Ovis aries: one gene and its partner. The protein of the gene in region 1 interacts with the protein of each later gene in a biochemical or structural test. Links are inferred from orthologs where the notes say so. Each region holds a gene or a part of one and is shown in the gene's direction. Other genes may lie near its edges.

Region 1 (3,813 bases):
ATAGTGCATGAGACCTAATCCAATAGTGCATGGGCTCTTCCCTTCATATATGTAATTTAAAAAGCTGTTTGCAAATAGGGATTTTTATGAGTTTCTTGAACAGCTCAGTTACCTACTTACCAAAGTTCTTTAGTACCTCTGTTTTTAATGAGGAACTGGAGTCTTAGGTCTGAAAAGCAATAGCAATAGTTTTAGAATATTCAGAACTATGATTCTTGAGAATTTCTTGCTTATTTTCTATTTTACGTAAAATAATTTGGAAGGATATTTCATTTCACTGTAACTTTTGTTCTCTCACCCTTCCGATACAAAGAGCTTAAAAAAACAATGGTAACCAAAATGCGAACTTTTTATTTGGAAAAATTAAAGCATGTAAAAGATAGAATGGAATAAATTAGTATCCCTTCCCATCTACCCAGCATCTGCAATTACTTTTTTTTTCTTGAGTATTCTAAAGCATCACATTATTTCACCTGTAAATATATAGATAGGTAAGTATAAATATTTTCATTGTGTGTGTGTATATATTCATTATATATATATCAAAGTATTTTTAATAAAGATGATCATTGAGTTGTTGAATGCATGGAAGTAATGAGTTATACTCTCTTAACGAGTACTTTCACTGCTGATCTTGTTTTTGTGTGGCTGGGAGGCTTCTACGAGATTCATATCCCTGTTCTCAGAGATAGATGTAACTCTTTGTTAGCATATTGTAGCTATTAGTGGAAAAATCGTAGAATTATAGAGTAACTCAGGGTTGGTTATCTTAGAAAGATGAAAATCTGTTTTATTAGAAATTTATATTTTAAAGTTACATATTTTGGTGTCTTAGAAACCTCAGATTGTCCTCAATCTCCTACTCCTGCCTGGGTTATTTTACTACTTCTGCAGTTTAAACATGTCCCATCTTTCTAGTAGAAACATAACTAGATTTGATTTTAAATCTTCTCAGGATAAACTTGAGTCTGCTAACCTTTTATATAAAGTGCTTTTATCCTATAGTTTTTCTGGTTCCTAAATGAGCTTTTAATTATACTTGAATTTTAAGGCCTAAACTTTTATTAAGAAAGGTACTTTTATTAAGAAAGGTTTATTTAATGCTGAAGTATGGAAAAGTGGCACCTAACTCAAAGCATTTTAATGTATTTTCTAATTTTGTTCTTTAACTATTTTTTTTGTGGATTTTTTCCCTTTTGCCCAGTGCTTTTATTTGGTTTAGGCTTTATATTTTCCCAAACATATTACTTTGTTTTTTTGTATTAAGAATCCTGTGTTTTATCCATTTATTTTTTTCAGCTTTATTGAGTTACAATTGACAAGTAAATAGTTATATTCATTTAGCGTGCCAGTTGGCAGAATGGTTTTTAATCTAGTTATTTAAAATGCTCCACTCTACCACTTTTGGTGTTATCAGTAGAATGACTTCTCATTATCTTGTCATTAATCAGATGTCTTTAAAGTGGTGAAAGGGCCTTTTGCATCTCTTGTTCCTCTTGGATTTTGTTGCTTTTCTAATTTTTCATTGGCTTTCACTCTTATGGGAATCATCAGTTACGCTTCAAAATGTACAAGGTATCTTACTTGTTTGTTTATTTGTTTGTTATATAGAGAGAAAGAGGAATCCCTTCAGCTTCATCAGGAAGCTTGGGAACGACATCAGCTAAGGAAAGAACTTCGTAGCAAAAACCAAAATGCTCCAGACAACCGACCAGAGGAAAATTTCTTTAGCCGACTAGACTCAAGTTTGAAGAAAAATACCGCTTTTGTCAAGAAGCTAAAAACTATTACAGAACAACAGAGAGACTCCTTGTCCCATGATTTTAATGGCCTAAATTTAAGCAAATACATTGCAGAGGCTGTCGCTTCTATTGTGGAAGCAAAGCTAAAAATATCTGACGTGAATTGTGCTGTGCACTTATGCTCGCTCTTTCACCAGCGCTACGCCGACTTTGCCCCATCACTTCTTCAGGTTTGGAAAAAACATTTTGAAGCCAGGAAAGAAGAGAAAACACCTAACATTACCAAGTTAAGAACTGATTTGCGTTTCATTGCAGAATTGACAATAGTTGGGATTTTCACTGACAAGGAAGGTCTTTCCTTAATCTATGAACAGCTAAAAAATATTATTAATGCTGATCGGGAATCCCATACTCATGTTTCTGTGGTGATTAGTTTTTGTCGACATTGTGGAGATGATATTGCTGGACTTGTACCAAGGAAAGTAAAGAGTGCTGCAGAGAAGTTTAATTTGAGTTTTCCTCCTAGTGAGATAATTAGTCCAGAGAAACAGCAACCTTTCCAGAATCTTTTAAAAGAATACTTTACGTCTTTGACCAAACATCTGAAAAGGGACCACAGGGAGCTACAGAATACTGAGAGACAAAACAGGTGATTTTCAAACGTTTCTCAGAATTGAGAATTTATTTTGGAGCTCATACTTTAAAAAATGTAAAGTCTTCATGCCACTGAAAGAACGTGTGGAAAAGGGCTTATTGCAGGTGATTTCTTAACATTCCAGGAAAATTTCACAGGGTAATAACAGTCTAAATACTCATGTTTAAATGTGAGTTTTTGATAGATTTTGTTTCTGATTTAAAAAAAAGAAATTCGGCAAGTATATGATGATTTTTACATTGTGGATTTTTACTGTGATTTAAAAATCTCCTTAACATTGAGGGATAAGTTTTCTTTTTCTATCACTTTAACTTATCTGTTATTATTTTTTTGTGTCTTTCACTGTTTCTTTTCTACAGCAGGTTTGCTTTTGTTTTGTATGTTAGTTTATTGACGTCACCATTGATACTCGCTCTTTTCAAGAGAATAAGTCATTCATGAGTGATATTTTAGATCAGAAATGTGGAAAATAGTGTACCAAAGTAGCTGTGAAAAAATTCTTTAAATGCAACTATAAAGTGCATTTACAGGAGTCTTTTCTCCTGGGGACATCCATTCAAAATTCTAAAGGAATGATGTGTGTGCCTGTGGTGAAGATCCCTGATTTAGGCCACCCTTGATTGTTACAAGATACTGTAGACTGCTGTGTATTATCTGCACCTAGAAGGCATCAAAAGGCTAGAAGTTGATGTAGTTGGTGGATATTAGATCAGTATGGAGGTGTGTATGTGGAGCAGGGCTGAGGGTGTGCAGAAAGGAGGTACAAGCGTTAGCCTTTGGCTGAATACTCTGCACCTATTTTAAAGTTCCTGTGTGGGGAGAACACTTACTCTTATAAGCCTGTAGTTGGGGAGGACTGGTTTACGTAGTTACCTCTAGAAGGTACTTAACTTAGCCACAAAAGATTGCAATAGTGAGTTGTTCGCTTAGGTAAGAGATAAGATTGGAGCAGAGGCTATATGGATAAATCTGTGGTGGCTGAAGCTCACTCAGAGGTGAGAATTTAAGATGGCAGTGGTGTTCCTTAATGTTTCATAAAACAATCCTCATTTTGTGCTTTTGAATAGCGAGGACTGTTTTAAACTTTGAAGAGCCAACTTCAGAATGTACTTCTATAGCCAGTAATGGGTTAAAAAAGAAAGTAGTGGTCCTCTATTAATAATTTTCACATATATTAGCTTTCTTAGTTACAATTTACATAGTCATTTTTACAGTCTTTTTCCTTTTCACATATGTTTTACCTAATATGTCGCAGGTGATTTTGAAAGTATGGTCTTTGATTTTTTTTTGGCTACTTTCTAAGGTTTTTTTTTTTTTAATTGAACTTCATATTTTGTGTTGGAGTATAGCCAATTAACAGTGTTTTGATAGTTTCAGGTGGACAGCAAAGAGACTCAGCCATACATATAAATGTAT
Region 2 (4,399 bases), on another chromosome or scaffold:
GCTCAGCTGTGTTTATAGTCCAGCTCTCACATCCACACATGTGTACATGTGTGCACATACATGTACACACATAGGATTCCTTTAGACTTTATGAAATAATGAAAATGACTCCTTGCCCCCTTTCTGGGGTTTTTGAGAACTTGGTTTTGGAACTTTTTTTTCTTTCAGTTTTTTAGCTCATTTAAAGTGACACATTTCTGGGCTTCCCTGGTGCTGCAGTGGTTAAGAATGCAGGGGCACCAGTTTGATGCCGGGCCCTGGAAGATCCCACAGGCCACGGGGCAACTAAGCTGGTGCTCTAGAGCCAGGGAGCTGCAACTGCTGAAGCCTGGAGCTGGTAACCCTCTGTGCACAGGAAAGCCCCACCCGACCAAAAATAAATAAAACGACACATTTCGAGTTTGTCCATAGGTAGCGAGTGGTTCAGAGATAAAAGACTGGATTGAGTTAAACCTGGATAAAGTTAAGATGGATCGAGTTAAAACTGAGTTACTCCCAGTGGCTGCCAGCGACTCCCCTCATCTCTTAATGCCTCAGTTACTCCATTCTCGTTTGTACTTGAAGTACTCGGAAGGTGCTATGAATGAAAAATATAGTCAACATGAAAATATGAAAAGGCATGACACTTAAAAATCAACCTGTATGTGAATTATTCTAACCAAAAGTACTTCTGCCTGCATGTTTGTAAAAGGAAAACATGGTTGCTGTCCCATTGAGCGCTTCAAAAAATGAGTGAAGATTATATTGGAAACATTAAGGCCCTGTTTTGTGAGTGCTGAGCGTCTGAGTTACTCTAGTCACTGACACCTGAACACTAAGGGCAGGTGAAATGAAACTTTGCGGCCAATTTCTTCTCTTAACTCTGGGGCATGGGGCATGCCTCCTACTTCGTAGGGGAAAGCCATGTGCTGATTTTTGCTGTCATTTCCTTGCTTTTTCTTAAATGTAACTGCTATTCTCTGACGAAACGTTCAGATTTCCTTGGGAAAGAATAAAAGGCTGTCAACACGTGGCACAGTGGTGAAGAATCCACCTGTAAATGCAGACTGCAGGCTGGATCCCTGGGTCGGGAAGATCCCCTGGAGTAGGAAATGGAAACCCGCTCCGGTACTCTTGCCTGAAAAAATCACATGGAGGAGCCTGGCGGGGAACAGTCACGGGGTGGCAGAGTCGGATACGATTGAGCACACGAAACAGAACACTGTCAAGTGCGCCTGTGTAATTCTCCTGGGACGCTTCTTCTCCGCGGGAGACATTCCGCCTCGCCTCGCCCCGCCCAGCTCAGAGCTCCTACTGAGGCTAAGCTCGCGCCCCGAATTTCCCGCTAACCGCGGCTCCAGGCCCACGGCGCGCCCTGCGCAGCTCGGGTCCGCCCCTGGGCGGCGCGCGCCCCTCCCGCGCCCGCGTCTCCGGCGCCGGCGGCCCGGGGCGGGGGAGGGGACTTGCGGCCTCACAACGGTGGGGGCGGCCCAGATCTCGCGAGGTTTCCGCTCTGACGGGAAGCGGCGGCAGCGCCGCGTTGGGTACGGATGCGCTCGGAGGATGGAGCCGGGGGCCCCGGTGTGGCCGTTGCTACGCGGGGTCCGAGCGGGAGGGAGAAACCATCATCCGCAGAAAGTCAGTTCCGCCGGGAGTCTCCGCGGCGGGAGGCCGAAGCGCCGCTGGCCGCCGCCTCCGGCTGTGGGAGCGGCGCAGGCAAACCTCGCGAGGAAAAGAGGACGGTCCTGAGCAAAGTGAGGGCGGTGCGGGGGCGGTGCGGGGCCGGCAAGCCTCGCGAGAGTAGACTGCCCTGAGGGGCGGGGGCGGGGCCGCTGGCTCTCCAGCACCGCGGACAGCGGCGTCTGGCCGGCGAGGAAGCGACTGGCTGCCCGCTGCAGCGCGCTTGGGCCCCCCCGGTGGCTCAGCGGGCAGAGGTTCCGCCCGCGGTGCGGGAGAGCCGGGTTCGATCCCTGGGTCGGGAAGATCCTCTGGCGCCGGGAACGGCTCCCCACTCTAGTGTTCCGACCTGGAGAATTCCATGGACTGCGCAGTCCATGGGGTCACAAAGAGTCGGACGAGACCGAGCGACTTTCAGACTTTTCTGACTCTGGAGGAAGAAAAGTCAGTTCAGCCTGTGGGTGTTTCCCGGCGAGGCTGGGACGCTGGGGCCCGCCAGTGCCGCACAGTAGTAGCTTTCCTCGCCGAGGGGAGCCGCCTGCGGAGGCCCGGCCGCGTCGTATTGAGCGCGTGGGCCGCAGTGCGGGCGGCTGGCTGTCTGGCTTTAATGACCATTGCCTGGGGAAGTGCTACTGTCCGCAGCCGTTTTTGACCTCACCGATCCCTTTTAGACTATCGAGCCCTCCTTACCCTCTTGACAGCCTTGTTCTCCGTGCGCGTATTTCACGCAGTTTAGGAAAGTTGTTGTTCAGTCGCCCAGTCGTGCCCGCCTCTGCCGCCGCATGGACTGCAGCATGGCAGGCCTCCCTGTCCCTCACCATATTCCGGAGTTTGCCCAAGTTCATGTTCATTGCAGCGGTGAAGCTGTGCAGCCGTCTGTCTCATCCTCTGACGCCCTCTTCTCCTGCTCTCAATCTTTCCCAGCATCAGGGACTTTTCCAATGAGTCGTGTGTTCGCAGCAGATGACCACAATACAGGAGCTTCAGCTTCAGTCCTTCTAGTGAATAGTCAGGGTTTGATCTCCCTTAAGATTGACTGCTTTGATCTCCTTGTTGGCCAAGGCTTTCTCAGAAGTCTTCTCCAGCACCACAGTTGGAAGGCATCAATTCTTTGGTGTTCTGCCTTCTTTACGGTCCACCTCTCACAACCATGATATCCTAAAATACTCCGAGCTGGATATTCCGAGCAGAAACGGGGTGACTGGGATGTGGGTTGTTGTTTAGTTGCTAAGTGGTGTCCCAGATATGCAGATGACACCACCCTTATGGCAGAAAGTGAAGAGCTAAAAAGCCTGTTGATGAAAGTGAAAGTGGAGAGTGAAAAGTTGGCTTTAAGCTCAACATCCAGAAACCGAAGATCATGGCATCCGGTCCCATCACTTCATGGGAAATAGATGGGAAACAGTGGAAACAGTGTCAGACTTTATTTTTTTTGGTCTCCAAAATCACTGCAGATGGTTGATTGCAGCCATGAAATTAAAAGATGCTTACTCCTTGGAAGGAAAGTTATGACCAACCTAGACAGCATATTCAAAAGCAGAGACATTATTTTGCCAACTAAGGTCCATCTAGTCAAGGCTCTGGTTTTTCCAGTGGTCATGTATGGATGTGAGAGTTAGACTGTGAAGAAGGCTGAGCGCCTAAGAATGGATGCTTTTGAACTGTGGTGTTGGAGAAGACTCTTGGGAGTCCCTTGGACTGCAAGGAGATCCAACCAGTCCATTCTGAAGGAAATCAGCCCTGGGGTTTCTTTGGAAGGAATGATGCTAAAGCTGAAACTCCAGTACTTTGGCCACCTCACGCGAAGAGCTGACTCATTGGAAAAGACTCTGATGCTGGGAGGGATTGGGGGCAGGAGGAGAAGGGGCTGACAGAGGATGAGATGGCTGGATGGCATCACCGACTTGATGGACATGAGTCTGAGTGAACTCTGGGAGTTGGTGATGGACAGGGAGGCCTGGTGTGCTGCGATTCATGGGGTTGCAAAGAGTCGGACACAACTGAGCGGCTGAACTGAACTGAACTGAATGAGGTTCTAATGAATCCAACCAGCGACCTCTCTCACCAGGTGGTCATCCGGCGGCTTCCGCCCAGCCTCACCAAGGAGCAGCTGGAACAGCAGCTGCACCCACTGCCTGCACACGACTACTTCGAGTTCTTCACTGCTGATGTCAGGTGAGAAGGCCTCACCAGCCTTAGGAGGCCGAGCGGGAACTCACCGGTGGTCCGGGGATAGGACTCCGAGCTTTCACTGCCTGCCCGATTTAACCCTTGAATGGGGCACTAAGATCCCACAGGCTGTGCCGTGGGGCCAAGAAAAGGGATAAAAAAAAAAAGAGAGAGAGAGAGAGGCACTGTCGTTGGATGGTAAAGTAATATAGATAATAGAAGCCATCTCTGTTTCAACTTCTTTCTCACACGTATGCAGAAATCAGCGCAGATCATTATTTCTTCAAGTTATTTCCACCTAGTCGAATTACTGAATTCCCTTAAAATGATTTACGTATCTCCATAGCATCAACATAGTCTAAAAAGAAAAGCAGTCTAACACCATATTACTTAATTTTGTTTTGGATATCACTAAACATTATTTAATATTACCTTTTATATGAAGTAAGTTGTATTAAAATATAAGAAAGAAAAACAAATAAATGAGATATATAAGCTAATGAGTTTTAACAAGTGAGCACACCCATGTAACTCAGACCCCAGTGTCCCTTCCAGAACTGACACCCTTACTTCC

What was found.
Region 2: the proteins of UPF2 (region 1) and UPF3A form a complex in vitro, tested with the Homo sapiens proteins (2 studies listed by IntAct, with this or other methods). The link is inferred for Ovis aries from reciprocal best matches to the Homo sapiens genes UPF2 and UPF3A.

What each region holds. Positions count from the first base shown.
Region 1 is NC_056066.1:16,039,417-16,043,229, reverse strand, and holds part of UPF2 (regulator of nonsense transcripts 2), read left to right. Parts: intron 1-1,611; coding exon 1,612-2,391; intron 2,392-3,813. UniProt on the Homo sapiens protein: Involved in nonsense-mediated decay (NMD) of mRNAs containing premature stop codons by associating with the nuclear exon junction complex (EJC).
Region 2 is NC_056063.1:86,395,358-86,399,756, forward strand, and holds the start of UPF3A (regulator of nonsense transcripts 3A), read left to right. Parts: upstream 1-1,471; 5' UTR 1,472-1,529; coding exon 1,530-1,733; intron 1,734-3,724; coding exon 3,725-3,831; intron 3,832-4,399. UniProt on the Homo sapiens protein: Involved in nonsense-mediated decay (NMD) of mRNAs containing premature stop codons by associating with the nuclear exon junction complex (EJC) and serving as link between the EJC core and NMD machinery.